2 linked regions of the Oryctolagus cuniculus genome follow. The protein of the gene in region 2 interacts with the protein of the main gene of each other region in a pairwise test. Links are inferred from orthologs where the notes say so. Each region holds a gene or a part of one and is shown on either strand. Other genes may lie near its edges.

The links.
Region 1: the proteins of KLHL41 (region 2) and NRAP interact in binary tests that used the Homo sapiens proteins (3 or more experiments, as listed by UniProt). The link is inferred for Oryctolagus cuniculus from reciprocal best matches to the Homo sapiens genes KLHL41 and NRAP.

Annotation. Positions count from the first base shown.
Region 1 is NC_091446.1:16,678,021-16,687,444, forward strand, and holds the end of NRAP (nebulin-related-anchoring protein), read left to right. Parts: intron 1-2,558; coding exon 2,559-2,666; intron 2,667-3,970; coding exon 3,971-4,282; intron 4,283-5,028; coding exon 5,029-5,160; intron 5,161-5,708; coding exon 5,709-5,813; 3' UTR 5,814-5,968; downstream 5,969-9,424. Other genes in the region: HABP2 (hyaluronan-binding protein 2), read right to left, coding at 6,361-6,525, 8,709-8,854. UniProt on the Homo sapiens protein: May be involved in anchoring the terminal actin filaments in the myofibril to the membrane and in transmitting tension from the myofibrils to the extracellular matrix.
Region 2 is NC_091434.1:71,561,916-71,572,455, forward strand, and holds part of KLHL41 (kelch-like protein 41), read right to left. Parts: intron 7,469-10,540; coding exon 7,283-7,468; intron 5,729-7,282; coding exon 5,582-5,728; intron 1-5,581. UniProt on the Homo sapiens protein: Involved in skeletal muscle development and differentiation. Regulates proliferation and differentiation of myoblasts and plays a role in myofibril assembly by promoting lateral fusion of adjacent thin fibrils into mature, wide myofibrils.

The sequences.
Region 1 (9,424 bases), on a different chromosome or scaffold from region 2:
ATCAGAATAACACAGCCTGCGTGTGTCGGCCTGGGGCAGCACGGGGCCTCCCAGAGCCCGGCCATTCTTCCCTCCCTGGCCTGGCCATTGTGTCCTGGGGCTCCGTGCAGATCAACAGCTGCTACCATTCACCCCAGAGGTGGCTGCCTCGCAGGGGTTGGCGAGAGGCGCCTTCTAGTTAGCGTGTGTATTAGTTTGTTGCATTTGTAAAGCCCTGTGGGATCCCACGCAGTGAATGCAATGGTGCTTTGTAAATATGAGTTATTATGACCATTTGATGTTTTTGAGGGACGTGCGAGGGATAATTTTAGAACAGCAGCTCTGGTGGGCTGACCTCCATCTGGGGAAGCAGGACCTCCCCCTTGGGCGAGCTGGCACAAAACATCCATCTCATTAATGCTCCGAGGATGGGGGACGGTGAGGCCTCCAGGTGAGGAGCTACTGGAGGCCCAGGGCTGTGGAAACTGGGATAAGGCAGCCAGTCCATCGGGAGCCCAACGTCAGGAGGGCAGCCACCCGGGCTGGCGACAGAAGCGTCTTGCCTCTCACAGGGGATGCCAGTTTGCAGAGTCCCAGAGCTGAAATTAGCTGCCGGGCCATCCAGGTATGAGAACTCATGAACCTCTTTTGAAGAGGACTTCTTCGGGGGGCGTGTGGAATACGCACAATTGGATCAAGTGCTCTGTGAGGAAGATGTGGAGGCAAAGTGACCTTCCTGGGCAAAGAAAGCCACTGAGATGCGTAAGGCAGCCGAAATAACTCAGAATCAAATGACTCTAATGTGTGAGGATGAGGACAAAACTGTGCCCACTGTGATAAAGAAGAGGAGCGCCCGGGGTTCCGAATCAAAGAGTCGACGGAATCTAAAGACTCCCAGTGGCAAGGCAAAAACCTCAACAGAATACAAAACCTCAGGGAGGAAGTGATCACAATCAAGCAAATAGTATACAGGGAGAAGTCTCAGGAGAAAGCGAGCCAACGCCCTGGGGAGAACCCCAATGTGGGCCCCACGCTCCAGTGGATCCTGAGTCACATAGACTTGGAAGCTGGGGTACCTTGGACACCGACGCGGGGTGCTGTTTGAGTTGGGTGTCACCAAGTTTGGTGTCGTTGATTGCACTCAGATCTCGTGTGGGCCTTGGAGAGAGCAATGAGTTTTTGACTCTGTTGGCTGCACTAATGTTGGTGGGACCACCCAAACAAAGTGAGGCTGAAAGGGATCGGTGCTTCGTCTCTCCCCGAATATCCCCTTCCTTCTACAGATCTTTCAGTCCCAGCTGCTAAACTCAACAGTGCCCCCATAAGTCCATCATTCTGGCTCTGTTGGGGATCTGTCTGTTAAGTGATCACCCCAGCGGCGATTGGTTCTGTATTTCCAGGGCCTTGAACATGGTAGGGATTTAGCTTTTGGTTTGTGGGGCTGCGCCTTGGAGCTGCAGGCGATGGTGAAGGTGCAGGTGATGGTGAGCCGTGGCAGAAAGAAACGAGTTCCATCACGCGTGACCCAGGCTCTTCATGGTCCCCCTGGTTCCAGGCCCGGTGCGGGATGGGGTGAGGCACTTTGCTTTTCATCTGCCACTCCTCCTTGGCTTAATCCCCCCAACCCCATGTGGAACAGAGCGCCAGCCTTGACCTCCATTTCCAGGTGACAAAAGTAAAGTTCTTAAGGGCCTCCTGACCCGCTGTAGCTCATGGAACGAGCGAGCGACCGCCGCGGTCTGGGGCTGTCACTTTGTCATCTGTTGGTGATGTGTCTCCCCTGCTGTCTCCCTTCTCTGTGGCTGAATAAAGGAGAGCCCTCCACTGGGATCGCCGGAGGAGTCCTTTCATGGAGCCATTCCCTTATCTTGAAAAAAAAAATTAGCTACAGAAGATTTTGACGCCTCTCTCGGTGATGTGGGCCTACCTGAGGACTGAGAGGATATGATTACAGACTCCCAGAGGGTGTGTGGGAACAACTTGAAAAGGGGGAAAAATGAAAGAGGAAGATATGAAACACATGGGTCAGGTACTCGGTCAGGTGCTTGACAATAAATGTAATTCAGGCGAAGGCTCTTCCCTTCGTGCAGGCACCAGGGGTGTATGTGAGATGCAGCAGGCCTCAGAGTGACGATGTGGGACATGGCATCAAAGCCAGGCCAAGGGGCCCCCAGGAAGTCAGTGGAGCTAACAAATGCATGGCTGTCAAGACCTAAGGAACAGCACGTTCAGCACAGAGGAAGAAACTGGGTTCTGAAACTTTGAGTCTGGCGTCTAGAAGCTGCAAACCCGAGGCTCCAACCGTGAGCGCCAAGACAGGAAGGAGTGGGTCAGGGACCTCCGAGACCCACAGAGTGCGGCAAATGAGCCAGACCCCCCAGACCGCATGCCTCTAAAGAGAGGAAGCCCTGCTTGGCCAGTCCCAGCAGTCTCAGAGCTGGGAGGCCCCCGGATAGACGTGGGGCCGTGGGCTCCATCATCCCGGGGCCTAACAAGGCCAAGAGGACTATTTAGGAACCAGCAATGTGCAAGCAGTGGAGGTGCTCCGTGCTCACTCCGGTTCTGTTTTCCCCTTCCAGAAAGCCTACAGAAACTCTTGGGAGCAGATCCGGGCCAGTGGCTATGACTTCAGGCTGGATGCCATCCCGTTCCAGACTGCCCGGGCATCCAGGGAGATTGCCAGCGACGTAAGACCTTGCCCCCCGCCCCCCATCACTGATAGGATTCACTGGGGGTTTCCCAGATCTGTGGAGAGGCAAACCACCAGGGCCTATCAAAATTATCTCTCCCTCCACTCCAGAACTGAATGTGTATTTCAAAGGAAAGAAAAAATAAGGCTTATTTTCTAGGATCTTTGCCAGCAATTTGGGGTTGGGGAGAGTTGTATCCCTACTCCCTCTGTCTTCACAGAGGTCCTCTTAAAGTGATGTGGAGCACCTGGAACCAGGGCAATGAACCAGGTCAATGATTGGTTTGCCAGGATGCAGTAAATGGGCTTCCTTTAGCTGAACTGCAGTGGGATGATGTAGAAAGATATTGGGCTTTCCCCCTAGTTTGACTTGAGTTCTAGCTTGGCCACTTAGGAATTAGCTGTTTGTCTTGGGGAAGTTGTTTACATTCTCTGAGCTCAGATTTCTATATCTATGAAATAGAGATTGAGTATTTGTGGTCTAGGGTTGATGGAGGAATGGGAACAAATGGTTTACAGGGTCTGGCTCATGGCAGGTGTTTAGAAGAGGCAGCCATTATTGCTGAAGAAGGGGGTGTCACCTACTGGGCAAATGCTCTTCACACCTTCCCACGCTCACCCATGAATGGTTCCTGGCTGGCCCATGGGGAGATGAGTACAGAAACAGAGCCTGCATTCAGAAAGGCGTTTAGTCTTTGGACATTGAGATATTCAAGTATGTGATCATTTTGTTGAATAAGATAAAGGCCAGTTTGGGGTGTTACCAAACACACATAGTAGGACCACATATTGCTCTTTGATAGGTTGGAAATTTAAAAATCCAAACACAAGTTCTTTACTACAGATGATTTGAAGAGCACTGGTCTAGGTCCCAAACAAGATCGGACTTGAACCTGACCAGAGGTTAAAAGCTGGAAAGGATCAGAGGAAGAACGGGCACACTTCTCTTCCTTTGGAGTTTTAACTGCAGCAGCATCAACGCCAGTAGCTGCCACTCAGTGGGCGTGAGCCAGTGGCCAGCACGAAGCTCAGCCCCATCTCATTAAATCCTTTTAATATCCCATGGGGTCGAAATTCATTACCCCATCTTTAAGATGGGGAAACTGAGACTCAGAGAGACTCAATAACTGACCCACGTCACAACTTTGGTTCTACCCAGATCCAAAATGTGTGCCTCTAATCCACCATTGAGCTCCCTACTGTGTGTCCCATAGGACGACCCCCTCGGGGAGGGGAGGCTGGCCTGTGGAGGGGGGAAGACATGGGCCCTAGCGACCCCTCTCTGCTCCTCTGACCTTGCAGTTCCGGTACAAGGAGGCCTTCCTGCGGGACCGGGGCCTGCAGATTGGGTACCGCAGCATCAGTGATGACCCAAGGATGAAGCATTTCCTCACCGTGGGCAGACTTCAGAGTGACAATGAGTACAAGAAGGACTTTGTCCAGAGTCGGTCCCAGTTCCACAGCCGTGCAGACCAGCCAGGGTTTCTGCATGCCAAGAGGAGCCAGCAACTGGCCAGCGACGTGCAGTACAGACAGCCCCTGCCCCAGCCCACAAGTGACCCGGAGCAGCTGGGCCTGAAGCACGCACAGAAAGCCCACCGGCTGCAAAGTGATGTGAGCAGCCTTCGCCGGCCCCGCTGAGGCCTCTCCCCTCGTGCCTCTTCCTAGGACAAGGCCCTGTGCTCTGGGGAGTTGGGCCAAGATAGGACCCAAGGCCCTTAACACTACCGACCCAGAGGAATAGTAACAATCACCTCCATTTCTTGAATTTCTGCTGGGAAGTCAGGCTTTGTGCCAAGTGCTTCCCAAGCATCCTGTCCTGTAGCCTTCACAATAACCCCACTATGGCCCCATTTTACAGATCAGGAACCTGAGGCTCAGAGGGGTTAACTTAATATCCCCCAGCAAAGAAGTGGCAGACCTAGGATGTAAATGCCATTTGGTTTGCTGGGAGAGCCCCAGCTGTGCTGTGTTTCCAAGGGTCCTTAGTAGTTACCTAACCCAGCCCTGCACTTTCCGTGGGAAGAAACTGCATCCCACAAAAGAGAAGTGGTTCCCCTAAGGCCACGGAGTAAATCAAAGTAGGCGCTCAGAGTTGACCCAGCTGTTCCCCACCCCCAACCCTGCACCACTGAGCTCCCATCACTTGAAAGGGGCAGCGAAAGGCTGGCTCCACTTGTGGCACACTGGGCCCTTGGTGCCAGGGAGCTACTGCATGAGATGGATTTGTTCCCACTGCCCTAGCTTTACTAACAACAATATATTCCCCATCTTGTGGTGGCTTTTCTAACCCTGTCCACTCAGTGGTCAAACCACCCCAAACCCTGCTGACATATTCTTGCTTCTCTCCTTCCCCCAAGGTCAAGTATAAATCGGACTTGAATCTGACCAGAGGTGTTGGCTGGACTCCTCCTGGCTCCTACAAAGTGGAAATGGCTCGGCGGGCTGCAGAACTGGCCAACGCAAGGAGCCGGGGTCTCCAGGGGGCTTATGTGAGTGTGGCGAGACCCTGGGGGAAAGACAAACTCATTGTTTCTTTTCAAAGTTTATTTTTGGCCAAAGATCAGCCTCTCTAAAGAAGTGTAAAATGCAGCTGGAGCAAGGCGCCTAATTTCACGGGTCTGAGATGACCAGGCGGATGACACGTGGGTTAAACTTCCCGCAGGGTTTTCTCTGAAGTCCCAGCCATTAGTTCTGCAGAGGCAAACCTACTGGGGTGACATCAATCCCGGGCCAGGGCAGCCCAGGCTGTGCTGACTGCTGGCTTGCTGCATTTGTGGAAAGGGTCAGAGACTTGCTGGCTACAACAGTCTGCATTTCAAATGCTTTTATTTTTCCCAAAAAGACACCGCATCTAAATGAGATTGACTTTGCTTCTTTTTCATTCTTGCCTTGAGGATCCTTTTTCCTGGGAAGGATGGAGGAGGGGAGAGGGTGTGGAGACGAATGAGTCCCATGCTCCTGGGCTATCTTACCATCTCCTGTGGAAACAGGACGGGAGCTGCGTGGTAACTCCGGGCTGTGTGTTTGATTTCTGCAGGGAGGGCCAGAGGCCATGGAGTCTGGAGATGATCCCAGGGGGCAGGTGAACCCAGATGCCACTGAGATCCTGCACGTCAAAAGGAAGAAGGCTCTGCTGTTGTGAGCGAGTGGTGTCCACGCCAGTTCTTAAGAGAGAAGCCGGAAGAGCGAACTTGCATCTGAAGATCCAGACTTTAGATGGCCCCAAGTGGACGAGCTGGAACAATGGAGCACCTGCTTTCCCTGGTCCTGGGTTTATTAAAACAACTGTGAAAGCAACGGGGCTATGTCGTATTATTGCTCCTCTCTCTAGTACCTGGCTGGTCGGTCCAGGATGAGGAATAAAGAGGCCAGGGCGACTCCCCCCAAGGCTGGGCAGTCTGCAGTCCCTTGCTGGCAGGTGTCAGGTGGAGACAGCCTCTGAACGCTGATTTTCTAGGAAGAACAACTGTTGAAAGTGAAGCAAACCTAAGCTATCTCGTGTGGGTTCCATCATGCTTTGAGAGATCAGAAAGAGCCAGATGAAATGGTGCAAAGGCTGGGCCAGGAAGGCCCAGGCTGGGCAGTGGTTGTCTCTGCATAGAACATGAACACTCGCTGCGTGGAGGCCACGGGGTGCCTGTGGCTGCCCAGGAGCCCGTGTTGTCTGAGGTGCTTCAGAGGACGGCAGCTTAGACGGCAGCCTCCCTTTGGATGGTGGCTTTGATCCAACTCAGGAACCTGGTGACTTGGGTGTAGACCCCTGGTTTCTTCCCACATTCCAGGCCCCAGCTCACTATGCCGGAGATGTAGTAGGTGCCATTCTTCTCACAGGTCAGAGGACCTCCAGAGTCACCCTAGGGGAGGAAGGGGCGTGAGGTCAGCCTCGGGGCCACAGTACATTCAGACACCCCCACGACCGCAGAGAGGGTGCCGGGGCTGAGGGGGCGGTGTCGGCTGCCAGCTGTGGCGGGCTGCTCTGGAAAGCAGGCTCTCCCCAGGCTTCCGGTGCCGTGAAACTCACTCTCTAAGTGAGCAGTGTCCTTTGTCCCTGAGCCTGGGAGGCTTGGCACAGGAGCCAAGGGCTGTAGCCACCGTGCCATGGGCAAACTCTAATTCCTGACTCTTAGTCACAGGAGGGTTTTTTTTTTAAAATACTTACTTTGTTTCTTTGAAAGAGAGGGGAGGGACAGGGACAGGGAGAGGGACAGGGAGAGGGAGAGAAATAGGAGATTGTCCATCCTCTGGTTCACTCCCCAAATGGCCGCCATGGCCTGGGCTGGGCCATGCTGGAGCCAGGAGGCTGGAATGCCACCCCGGTTTCCCACATGGCTGGCAGGGGCCCAAGCACTTGAGCCGTCTTCCACTGCTTTCCCCTGAACGTTAGCAGGGAGCTGGATCGGAAGTGGAGCATGCACAACGCCCGCATTGCAGGCTGTGCTTACCCCGGCGCACCGCAGTGCTGGCTCCCTTCAGGGTGTCACTGCTGTGAGCTCTCAGGGGCTCTGGACTTGCTCCTTCTGGGGCCCTGTTTGGATACAGCCCTGGGCACACACAGGGGAGGAGGATGGGGACTCAGGGGGCACCCTGGTCAGGGCATTCACCGTGGTCCACGTGGTTAGATGTCCTGGGCTCTGAGCCAGGCTCTGGTGCCTGCCAGCCTTGGGCCTCAGGTTGTCACACTGCTAACTGTGTCCCAGGGCTGTCGTGAGGATTCTGAGAAGGACAATGAGGGTGTCAGCAGCTCTTAGGCTCCCAAACATCCACTACCACTTAAGCACCACCACTAACAGGTGTTTTTCAAATGAATTCCCTCTTGGCATCTTAGCCACAACCTTAGGATGATTTGATGGACATGTTAGCACCATTTTACAGATTAGGCATCTGAGATCAGAGAATTTGGTGACTGCTAAGGCCACACAATAGGGGACAGAACCAAGTTGCAAACCCATGGCTGTTACCAGAGCCGGCAGCAATTATTTCTTTTCTTGAACAATCTCTGACTCATCTCCCAGGGGCTTAGGGCAAGTAGCACCCATCTGCCTATGGTTCTCTGCATATGTGCATATCTGTGGTCCCTGGGAGAGGGAAGGGCTCACAGCAGAGACACAAACCCTGGAGCAGTCATTTCCATTTCCCAACCCAAAGTGAACTCAAGGTGGGCAAGTAATGTTTGGATCCCTTTGTAGAGAGACTCCATCAAGGATCTAGGACCCAAATGTGGCCCTGTTGGGTTTTCCAGGGTAGTTGGGTGGTTTGTGAGGACAATCAGCAGAAAATTGTAAATCGAGGTGTTTCTGGGCATCTGGGACGGACGTATGCTGTGTGATGACACCCTGGCAGAGGCAGGGACTCTGGGGAGTGCACTGGGACACCGCCTGAGGTCCCCTTGGCACCAGTGTGGAGCTGCCACCTCCTCCCTCCCCAGCAGCTTCTCACACACCGCAGGCCTCAGCAGCTTGGGGTTCCCAAAGTCGAGACTGGGAGGAGCGTCAGGCAGGCCCTAGGCTGGCTATGGCCGCAGAGCCACTTAGCGTGCTAAGGTGAAACCTGTATCTGTCTCTCTCGTTTAAATCCTCATGAGTAGTTAATATCATTGCAAAATCTCTAGGCCTCACATCTTTCTCCTTCCAGCCAATGGCCTTTAGGGCATTCGTTGGGCTATTTCAGACCTGCTGCCCAACACTGAGGCCAGCTGTGCCATCTTCACATTTAAATATCGTGGAGCACAGTAGCAAAGGCTGTGGCATCCTGCAGACCTGGGTTGTCCAAATTCTAGCCCTGCCACTTAGCATCCAGGCCAAGACAACCTCTGAAAACATCTGTAAAATGGGGCTAATGATGCCCTCCACACACACACCAGAGGGTTGGGGGAATTCGAGTGAACAATGCAGGCACCAGGACCACTGTGGTTACCAAGTTGAACCATCCATACTGATGTGGACTGCTACAGCCCTATCTCCGCCCAGGGCTCCCAACAGCCTCTGTGCCCGAGGACTGCCAGCCTCTCCTTCTCCAAGTACCATTAGGAGCCTCTGACCTGGCAGGTGTCTTGTCCAGGTTTCTGAAGGTTTCCTGCACAAATCATGCTGTCATCAATCATGTGGTCGTAGAGTCGACGCGAGTTGCACAAAGTGTTTGCAATCAGCTTGACTTTGGCATCCAGGAGCTGGCGGGACCCTTCCCCTGTGGGGCAAAGAGAAAAGTCACTATGGTGGGCACCAGAATCCAGCAGTACTAGAAGGCCACCAGCTCTCAGCTCAGGAAGCGTGGATTTTCCAGGAGCTGGGAAGCGTCGCCTTCTAAGGCTGATGGATCCTTTCCCTCAGGCGTCACCACGCCTATGCAGACCTGTAATGCTGCACTTATCACAGTGGGGCTGAACCATTCATTGCCTCCTCTGTAACCCCAAGCAGACTATGAGGCCTAGGAGGGTAGGGAAGGTGTGTTGACTATTTGTTAATTTCCTATGCAGACCAGAGAGGCTAGCATTTAGTAGACTCTTGGGGAGTGAGTGGATAGATGAATGGATGGATGGATGGATGGATGGAGTGCCCTGGTGTACTGCTATTGCTCCACAGGTAAAGAGTCAATCAAAACATGTCATTGACTTTGAACACACAGCCTTGGAGGGCTATTCAGAGAAACTAAAACATCCTAGCCTGAATGTCTTGTAAGAGCCCCATCTCAGACATGGCCATACTGTCCAATCCATATTGCACAGAATAGGGATCAGAAGGCTTAGGTGGACTACAA
Region 2 (10,540 bases):
AAAAATGGAACACATTTAAGCAACAGGAGGTTGAAGTTAAATGTGGTTTAAAAATGTTTGTTTCCTGAGGTGCTGTGCTGTAGCAGTTGGAGCTATAGCCTGCAGTGCCAGCATCCCTTGATAGGCACTGGTTCTAGCCCTGGCTGCTCCAATTCAGATCTGGCTCTCTGCTATGGCCTGGGAAAGCAGTGGAGGATGGCCCAAGTCCTTGAGCCCCTGCACCTGTGTGGGAGACCCAGAGGAAGCTCCTGGATCCTGGCTTTGGATCCGCTTAGCTCCGGCTGTTGCAGTCACTTGGGGAGTGGACCAAAGGATGGAAGACCTTTCTCTCTCTTTCTCTCTCTCTCTGCCTCTGCCTCTGCCTCTCTGTAACTCTGCCTTTCAAATAAATAAATAAATCTTTAAAGAAAAACAATGTTTGTTTCCTCAGTCATGTTTTTATGTTCAGCTTGGTCAATCCTAAATAATGGAGTAATTTCAACGAAAAAAATGTGAGAATGTAAATGTTTTTTACACATCACAGTAGTAGAGTATATAGATTTAGAATAAGATGTACTGAGCTTTCATTTCCTTGCGTGTACGGATATAGAGGTTCACTAGGAAGTCAAGGGCAAGTGAGTAGCCGCCTTTCTCTAGATCAGTGGCTGTCAACTTTAGGGCACATCCGGGTCACCTGGAAGGCTTGTTAAAACAGTTGCTGGGCCCCACACCCAGAGTTTCTAATTCAAGTGAGGTCTGAGAATTTATATTTCTAACAAGTACCTAAGTGATGCTGATGTTGCATATGGAATCACAGCGGCACATCACTGGTTCTCAAATCCGATGTTTAAAAAATTCTGATGCCCGGACCCCACCCCTAGAGACTGACTTAATCAGGTTGGAGGGTGGCCTGGGCACGAGGATTTTTGAAAGCTTTCCAGCTGAGACTTAATACACAGCAAAATGTGAGAATCAATTGCTCCAGATATTATACCAGATTAGAAAATACCAGTATCTAAATGTCAAACTTTATAGCCAAGCAGATAAATGCCCTCTCTTCCCTTTCTAGTGGTTTCTTTTTTTAAAGATTTTATTTTATTTGTTTGAAAGTCAGAGAGAGAAAGACAGGCAGAGAGAGAGAGAGAGAGAGAGAGGTCTTCCATCCACTGGGTCACTCCCCAGATGCCCACAATGGCTGGAGCTGTGCTGATCCAAAGCCAGGAGCCAGGAGCTTCCTCCAGGTCTCCCACGAGGGTGCAGGGGCATGAGGACTTGGGCCATCTTCTACTGCTTTCCTAGGCCATAGCAGAGAGCTGGATTGGAAGTGGAGCAGCTGGGACTCGAACCGGAGCCCATATGGGATGCCAGCACTGCAGGTGGCTGCTTTACCTGCTATGCCACAGCACTGGCTCCTCTAGTGGTTTCCAAACTTGTCTGCACACATGGAATCATCTGAGAATCTTCTAAAACTTCCCAAACCCTGACCATATCCCGAACCAATTAAAACACAGTAAGGGTGGGACGGAGGTGGTGGTACTTTTTGAAGCTCCCTGTGACTGCAATGTGCAGGCAAGTTTGGGAACTACTGTCCTGATAACAACCAGAAAGCTTCCTCTCAGAGATGTAAGGGCAACTAGCAGAAGATGCTCTACTTTCCTCTGCTGCCCACGGCTTCCTCCTGCCAGGGCTGTGTGGCTTTTGTCTACCTTTAGGAACCAGGGTGGCTCAAATGAGGCTCGGCTGATTGACAGCATCATTCGTTAACATCACTAATACGCCACCTTGGCTGTACATTAAAATCATCAGTGAAGATTTTAGTAACTAGGGATGCTCAGGCCCTACCTCCAGAAACTGATGTAATTGGTCTGTGTTAAGGCCTAGGAACTGATACATTTTAAGCATCCTAAGCAGGGTGGGCACTTGGCACAGTGGCTAGGCTGCCACTTAGGACACCAGCATCCTGTATTGGAGTGCCTGGTTCAAGTCCTGGCTCCTCCACTTCTTCTTCTTCTTTTTTAAAGAAGAAAACAGAGTTACATGGAGAAGTAGAGACAGAGAGAGGTCTTCCATCCACTGGTTCAATCCCCAAATGGCTGCAATGGCCAGAGCTGAGCCAATTCAAAGCCAGGATCTTCTTATGGGTCTCCCACGTGGGTACAGGGGCCAAAGGACTTGGGCTATCCTCTGCTGCTTTCTCAGGCATATTAGCAGGGAACTGGATCAGAAGTGGAGCAGCCGGGACTTGAACTGGTGCCTATATGGGATGCTGGCATTGCAGGCTGGGGTCTTAACCTACTGTGCCACAGCGCCAGCTACTCCTCCACTTCTGATTCAGCTTCCTGTTAATTGATTAGCTGGGAGGCAGCAGGTGGCTGGCTCAAGTTCTTGGGTCCTATCCACCCATGTGGGACATCTGGATTGAATTCCTGGCTCCTGGCTTCGAACTGGCCAAATCAAAGGCATGTAGACTAACAAGCTGATGGAAGCTGTCTGTCTTTCTGTCTCTTTCTCTCTGCCTTTCAGATAAAATGAAAATTTAAAAATAAACTTTTAAAAATATTTATTTATTAATTTGAAAGTCAGAGTTAGAGACAGAGAGACAGAGAGAGAGAGAGAGAGATCCTCTATCTGCTGGTTCACTGGCCCAGGCCTAAACCAGGAGCCAGGAGCTTCATCCGGGTCTCCCACATGGGTGGCAGGAGCCCAAATACTTAGGTCATCTTCCATTGCTTTTTGCAGGCAGATTAGCAGAGAGCTGGATCAGAAATGGAGCAGCTTTCTGCTGTGGCCAGGGAGTGCAGTGGAGGATGGCCCAGGTGCTTGGGCCCTGCACCCCATGGGAAACCAGGATAAGTACCTGGCTCCTGCCATTGGATCAGCACGGTGCGCCGGCTGCAGCACGCCAGCCACGGCGGCCATTGGAGGGTGAACCAATGGCAAAAGGAAGACCTTTCTCTCTGTCTCTCTCTCTCTCACTGTCCATTCTGCCTGTCAAAAAAAAAAAAAAAAAGACAGGAACCAGAGCCCACAGGGGATACTGGTGTCACAGGCAGTGACAGGCAGCCTTTCATTTTAGTAGCTAAGGATAAGACATCTGCTGGTTCAGATATAGGAAAAAAAAAAATCCATGTTTCACTCCAGCCTTAGTGGTATGCCTTCACTGGTCAGGCATAAAGGGTACTCTTTCAAAGCTGTACCTATAAACTTAAATATGCAACATCACTTGGGAATCTTGCTAAAATGCAGGTTCTGGTGGGGCTAGGATTCTGCACTCCTGAGAAGCTCTCAGATGACAACACTGCTCTTCTACAGACAACAGGACATTGTAAGTAGTGAGGCTCTGGACAATCTGATGAGAGACCAGGTAAAGGCTGCCAGCCTTGCAATGTTCACCTAAGATACCTAGGATCTACCTCCTGTAAACTCAGATAAGCAAGCACAGGGCATGGGCTGAGGCAGAAGGGGTAATGGGCAAGCATGTTTGGTCTCTTGATGTTGAGCAAGCATCTACCCACCAAACACTCTGCCTCTGACTATGTGACTCAACAGCACAAGCTCCTGAGATGTCCTGGATACACTCTGGTTTCTATAGAACATTCATTGCATTAGACACTAAAACAGGCCTCACGATCCCCTTAAAACATTCCTGTTTTTAGGCCCAAGCAAAAATTGCAATGGTCATACTTGGGAGAACTGCCTATATGGGAGGTAAAATGGATTGCTACTTTCACTTTTTTCTATTTAAAAAGCTTTTGTTAGGCTTCCATAGCCTTGGCAGCTCATGACAAGAGCCTTGGGTGATTACTGACATCATAAATAAGAGTGTCAGGGGCCGGTGCCGTGGCTCACTTGGTTAATCCGGCGCCGGCATCCCATATGGGCACCAGGTTCTAGTCACGGTTGCTCCTCTTCCAGTCCAGCTCTCTACTGTGGCCCAGGAGGGCAGTGGAGGATGGCCCAAGTGCTTGGGCTCCTGTGCCCACATGGGAGACCAGGAAGAAGCACCTGGCTCCTGGCTTCGGATAGGCACAGCGCTGACCATAGTGGCCATTTGGGGAGTGAACCAATGAAAGGAAGACATTTCTCTCTCTCTCTAACTCTGTCAAATAAATAAATAAATGAATAAGAGTGTCAACTGTTAAATCAACAACGGGAGTCACTATGCACCTGCTCCCCATGAAGGACTTCTGTCCTTAATGTGTTGTACTATGCGAATTAATGGTAAAACTACTACTCAAACAGTACTCTCTACTTCGTGTATCTTTGTGGGTGCAGTCTGTTGAAATCTTTACTTAGTATATACTAAGTGGATCTTCTGTATATAAAGATAATTGAAAATGAATCTTGATGAAGAATGGGATGGGAGAGGGAGTGGGAGATGGGATGGTTGCGGGTAGGAGGGAGGTTATGGGGGGAAAAGCAGCTATAATTCAGAAGCTGTACTTTGGAAATTTATATTTATTAAATAAAAATTGAAAAAAAAAGCTTTTGTTAACCAAATCTTCAAACAACTGAAAGACTATTTAAATTAAATTCCAAATAGAATTAATGATTTCATGGAGATCTTTAAAAAGAGGTTAAATGTTTTTTCACAATTCTGCTTTTTTTTTTTTTTTTTTTTTGACAGGCAGAGTGGACAGTGAGAGAGAGAGAGAGAAAGGTCTTCCTTTGCCGTTGGTTCACCCTCCAATGGCCGCCACGGCCGGCGCACCGCGCTGATCCGATGGCAGGAGCCAGGTACTTTTCCTGGTCTCCCATGGGGTGCAGGGCCCAAGCACTTGGGCCATCCTCCACTGCACTCCCTGGGCACAGCAGAGAGCTGGCCTGGAAGAGGGGCAACCGGGACAGAATCCGGCTCCCCGACCGGGACTAGAACCCGGTGTGCTGGTGCCGCAAGGCGGAGGATTAGCCTAGTGAGCCGCGGCGCCGGCCGACCACAATTCTGTTTTCTTAGGAAATAAACTACTCTGGTGGAAAGATAAGCAACCTGGGGCTGGCGCTGTGGTGCAGCGGGTTAAAGCCCTGCCCTGCATATGGACCTCAGTTGGGGTCCCAGCTGCTCCACTTTCTGGTGCACCTAGGAGGGCAGGAAAGACAGCCCAAGTCCTTGGGCCCCTGCACCCACGTGGGAGACCCAGAAAAAGCTCCTGGCTCTGCCCAGCTGCTGCAGCCTTTTGGGGGAGTGAAGCAGCCGATGGAAGACCTCTCTCTCTTTCTGTCTCTACCACTCTCTTTCAAACAAATGAAATACAATCTTTAAGAAAAAATAAAAAGGGAAAGAAAGGTAAGTTGCCTTCACTCTACTGGATATCTAGAGTGTTGTCCATTGAGAGCTGGAATAGAGCTGGAATAGAGCCAACTGTCGTTTTACTGACTAAGAAATAGGTCCACATAAGTTCTTTCCCAAGCTCACAGCTAATTGTAAGCAGTACTTGATGAAGTATGTGGCAGGTACAATTATATTTGAAGTGTCTGGTCTATAACCAAGAAGTAGCCTGCATATTGGAAAAGTCTGGCTTATTATTTGCTACAGAATTATTGCTCAATTTTCATTTATCTGATTTAATATCTGGTTCTGAAAATGAGAGTGAAGAGAACTTACTTCCATATGTCATTGACTTCAGTGGGTGCAAACTCTTTAGATTCCAGTTGAATCATAGCAAAACCACCGATGGCATACAGAGATCCAGCCAGGCTGACCAAACTGATGGAGCTTCTTTCTTGGGGAAATTCAGTCATTACTTCCCATCTGGGTATTATTGAAAATATAGTGAATGTAAAACTTAACATATTAAATGTATTTACTGAACAGGAAATACTTTAAAAATTCAAGTAGCATAAGCATCTAAAAGTAGAAGTTTACAACTAGAAAATATTTTAAAATTCCTTAAATTTGAAAGATGTAATAATCATATTAAATAGAAAGCTTTCAATAGATCACACTTAGAATATTTCATGATTTAGCACCTTCAGCAGTGGTTGCCAAACTATTTGTCATAAACAGTGGGGTTCTGTGGCCCACATTTGAATACTAATACAAACATTTAAAAACTCTTAATTTCAAGCTTTTCTCAAGAACTCTCCAATCCTTTGCAATAAAGGTATATGATAAAGATAGTTTTGAAGCTACGGATGGAGATGGTAAATTTACTTTTAATGACTTGTACTTTACAATATAAAGGTTTTAGGAGAACTTTTTAATGTTAACAGCCATCTGAAATAGGACAACTGAAGATAAAATCAACCACATTGGCTGGAAGTTTCAAGAACTGGGAATGAGTTAGTCATGTGGTAGCTCTCCACTGCATTACCCCAGAACTATAGTTCTAAAGAACTAAAAACCTCATAGTTTTTCTTTAAACCTATTTTTATTAACCATAAAAATAATACATATACACTATAAAAATCTAGGAAGTACAGAAAGTTATAGAAGAAAACAAATACCCTCATTATCATAGTTTCCAGATATAATCATAAGTAACATTTTGGTATAGCTTGTCTTTTTATTAAAAAAAAAAGGATATAGGTATCCAAACATATGAAGAACTCTAGGAACAGAGGATTTACAATTTTGTGCTGCTTCTTTAACTTTTTATATTATGAGTGCTTAACTAATATACAGTCTTAAAATATGTTTTAGTGCTCTTTTAGGTTCTATTACATAAAAGTTGCTTGTGACTTTCAGTTATTATTTTGTAGTCAGACATACATAGTTTCTAAAAAAACTAGTAACAGTACTCTGATTTTTAACTTATTGCTAAACTATGAAAGTATATACTCATCTAGATGTGTGGGCACAAAGATTCTGAAAAAATTAATTTTATATAAGAATACCAAGTATTTTTCATAGTGTTGCTAAAAGCTTAAAAAACAAGCTTTAAAAAACATCTAAAAAACATAAAGAAACCAAACTTCTGAAGCATTCATACTTAATATCAGTCATTAATAAGATATTCTCATCTTTAATGAAACTACATATTTCCAATTGAATAACTCCACAGAGACATGTATATCCATCTACATGAACACAGTTATTCAGAAGTGTTACCTTAGCATGACTCCATTCACACAGTTAACACAAGTAAGGACGAGCAAGGCATGCCAGCATCAACTTGAGGGTCACACTCGGTGCATCCAAATGTTAGGAGTTTTACTCTCAGTTGCCACAGAAGAAACCCTCATGAAAATACTCCCCTTAAATTGATGACTCCCTGCCCCTAGCCCTGCCACATGCTAACTGAAAGCTTAATTTTTATCAGGTAACAACTGAAATGCACAGTGACTGTGAGATTCAGCAACTCACTTATTGGTTGTGAGGTCAAAAGCTTCCACTGCAGCTGAAAGACCATCCTCAGTGACACCCCCTGCGACCACGATCTTGCCTTTGTGGACCGCCACTCCAAACATGGAACGCGGGGTTTTCATCGGAGCCAGGTCTTTCCAGTCGCCTTTTTTGGGGTTGTAGATGAACACTCTGTTGGTACACTTTCTGTAATCAGAAAAGAAAACAAATATCCATTTTAAAATATTTTTTGAAAGCAACTTCAGTAGTAAGTTGGCATTGGTTCTCCTATAAAGTATGTAGTGTGACAGAGGACCAGAAAAACTCCACAGAGTTCTTAACGTGAACATTTGCTGCTAGGTAAAGGACAATCCAAATGTGGAAAGCAAAACTATTTTATAAAGTAATTAGCTGGGGGGCTGGTGCTGTGGTATAGCGGGTCAATCTGCCACCTGCAGTGTTGGCATCCCATGTGGGTGCTAGTTTGAGTCCCAGCAGCTCCTTTTCTGATCCAGCTCTTCGCTATGGCCTGGGAAAGCAAGTGTTTGGGTCCCTGAACCCTTACAAGAGACCCTGAAGAAGCTCCTGGCTCCTGGCTTCATATTGGCCCAGCTCTAGGTGTTGCGGCCATTTGGGAAGTGACCCAGCAGATGAAAGACCTCTCTCTCTCTCTCTCTCTGCCTCTGCCTCTCTGTGACTCTGCCTTTCAAATAAGTAAGTCTTAAAAATAAGTAAATAATTATTCTACTTCTAGGCAACCACTTAGGAGTTCAGGAACAGCAGATTCTAATTCTATCTGCTAATAAATTCAATGGAAAACTTTGTTTTTATGCTAGTTGGGTGGGAAAAAAATCACAAATCCTTTATTATGCCTCAGTAATAAGAAATATTAATTTATTAATTTCATTATTTGAATGTTTTAGGAATGAATAAGTTAACTTAAAAATAATCAGGTGGGAGGCTGGCAGTATGGCACAGCTAGCCACAGCTTATGACACTGGCATCCCACATGTGAGTGCCAGCTTGAGTATTTGCTGGTCTGCTTCCCATTTAGTTTCCTGCTATTGTGCCTGGGAAGTCAATGGATGATGGCCCAAGTGCTTGGGTCCCTGCCACCCACCCAACAGGGGAGAATCTGGATGGAGTTCTGGGCTTCTGGCTTCCCTGGGGCCATTTGGGGAATGAACCAACAGATGGAAGATCTCTGTGTCACTCTGTCAAATAAATATTTAAAAATAATAGTAATAGGCAGATGAACACATGCCTATTTTACACTTAACTAATACAATCTCTCATTTTATTTACCATTAATACACAGATGCATTTTAAGAAATGTTGGATATACATTAGACAATGTAGGCATCTGTGCTGATGAGTGATGAGAAGAGTTTTATGTACTAAATGCTCTCAGAAAACCCTGGATTCATCTGAATTATTATTCTTAGTAAAGTTACCCATTACTTAGTGATGAGAGTTCAGAATTCCAAATAATGATTTAACTCTATATATAACAAAGAAATGCTCCAAGTTTTTGTGAGGACAGCTGTTTCTTTCTTCCTTTCTTCCTTTCTCTCTCTCTCTCTCTCTTTCTTTCTTTTGAAAGTCAGAGTTACACAGAGAGAGAAGGAGAGGCGGCGGGGTGGGGGGTGGTGGGTCTTCCATTCCGCTGCTTCACTCCTCAAATGACCATAATGGCCAGAACTGAGCTGATCCAAAGCCAGGAGCCAGGAGCTTCTTTCAGGTCTCCCACCCAGGTGCAGGGCCCCAAGGACTTGGCCCATCCTCTATTGCTTTCCCAGGCCATAGCAGAAAACTGGATCAGAAGAGGAGCAGCTAGACTCGAACTGGCATCCATATGGGGTGCCGGCACTGCAGGCTGGAGCCTTAACCCGCTATGCCACAGTGCTGGCCCCAGGACAGCTGTTTCTTAATCTTATAAAAGGCCAGGTACCTGCAACAGAGGCATTCCCTAATACTAACTATGGGTATCACTTGAAAACTTCTTGGGGCTGGTGTTGTGGCATAGCAGGTTAAGCCACCACCTGGAATGCCAGCATTCCATATTGGCACCAGTTTGAGTCCCAGCTACTCTACTTCCAATCCAGCTCCCTGCTAGTGTGCCTGGGAAAGCAGTGGAGGATGATGGCCCAAGTGCCTGCACCCACGTGGGAAATCCAGATGGAGTTCCAGGCTCCTGGCTTTGGTTTGGCTCAGCCCCAGCCATGTGCCCATTTGGGGAGTGAACCGGAAGATGGAAGATCTCTCCCTCTCTCTTTGTAATTCTGCTTTTCAAATAAATCTTTAAAAAACAAAAACTTCTTGATAAGAACATGATACAAAAGAATGTTCTTCAAATACGTTAGCTATAATTTGTGCAATTCAGTCTTTACTTTTAGATAATGACTCACTCAAAGTTCTTGATGTTGACATTTGTCAAGCAATGTTGTCTTGGTTAATCATACTGTCAAGATTAATATATTCTCATGACAAGAACCGCATGCTTCTTTCTGACATATCATTTTCCTAGTTACTAATGCTACTCGAAGGAAACAATTTAAATCATTTTTGGAAGGGCTCCTGGGTTTCTAAAGTCAGAACACTGCTTAATGGAGATTTTCTATGCCACTTACTCAGGAAATATGCCCAAAATAAGATCTGGCACTAGGTGGTTTATAATATACCTTTGTTTAAATATTCATTTGATGGGAATAGCTGGGATTAAGGAAGATACCAAAATTTCAGAATATATTATTTTTGAATATCAACAGATTGTATGAAAATCGTTGCTTTAAAAATTTGAGAGACAGAGAAACAGGGAGAAAGTGTGAGAGAGGGAGAGAAAGAGCTCTCAACCACTGTTTTACTCCTCAAGTGCCTGCAGTGTCCAGGGGGCTGGTCTAGTCTGAAGCTGGGAGCTGGCAACTCAGTCCAGATGTCCCATGCAGGTGGCAGGAACTCAATTAATTGAGCCATCCCTGCAGCTTCCCAGGGTCTGATCAGTTGGAAGCTGGAATCAGGAGTCAACCTTTTCCAAGACTGGACATCCATGGTAATTAAACAGCCTGGGCAAATGATGACAAGCCAAACTGAGCAGTTTTCAGGGGCAAGAGATGCGATTTCACTTGCTAAACCACAAATGCTTGTTTTAGCAGAAAGCCTACTAGTTAAACTGCCTGACTTCTGGAGTACTGCGAATGCACTTTTCCGAGTTATAAGATCTCTTTCTCAATTATCTATCTCTTGAGAAGCGCCTAGGTATCAAATTAGCCATATACATGA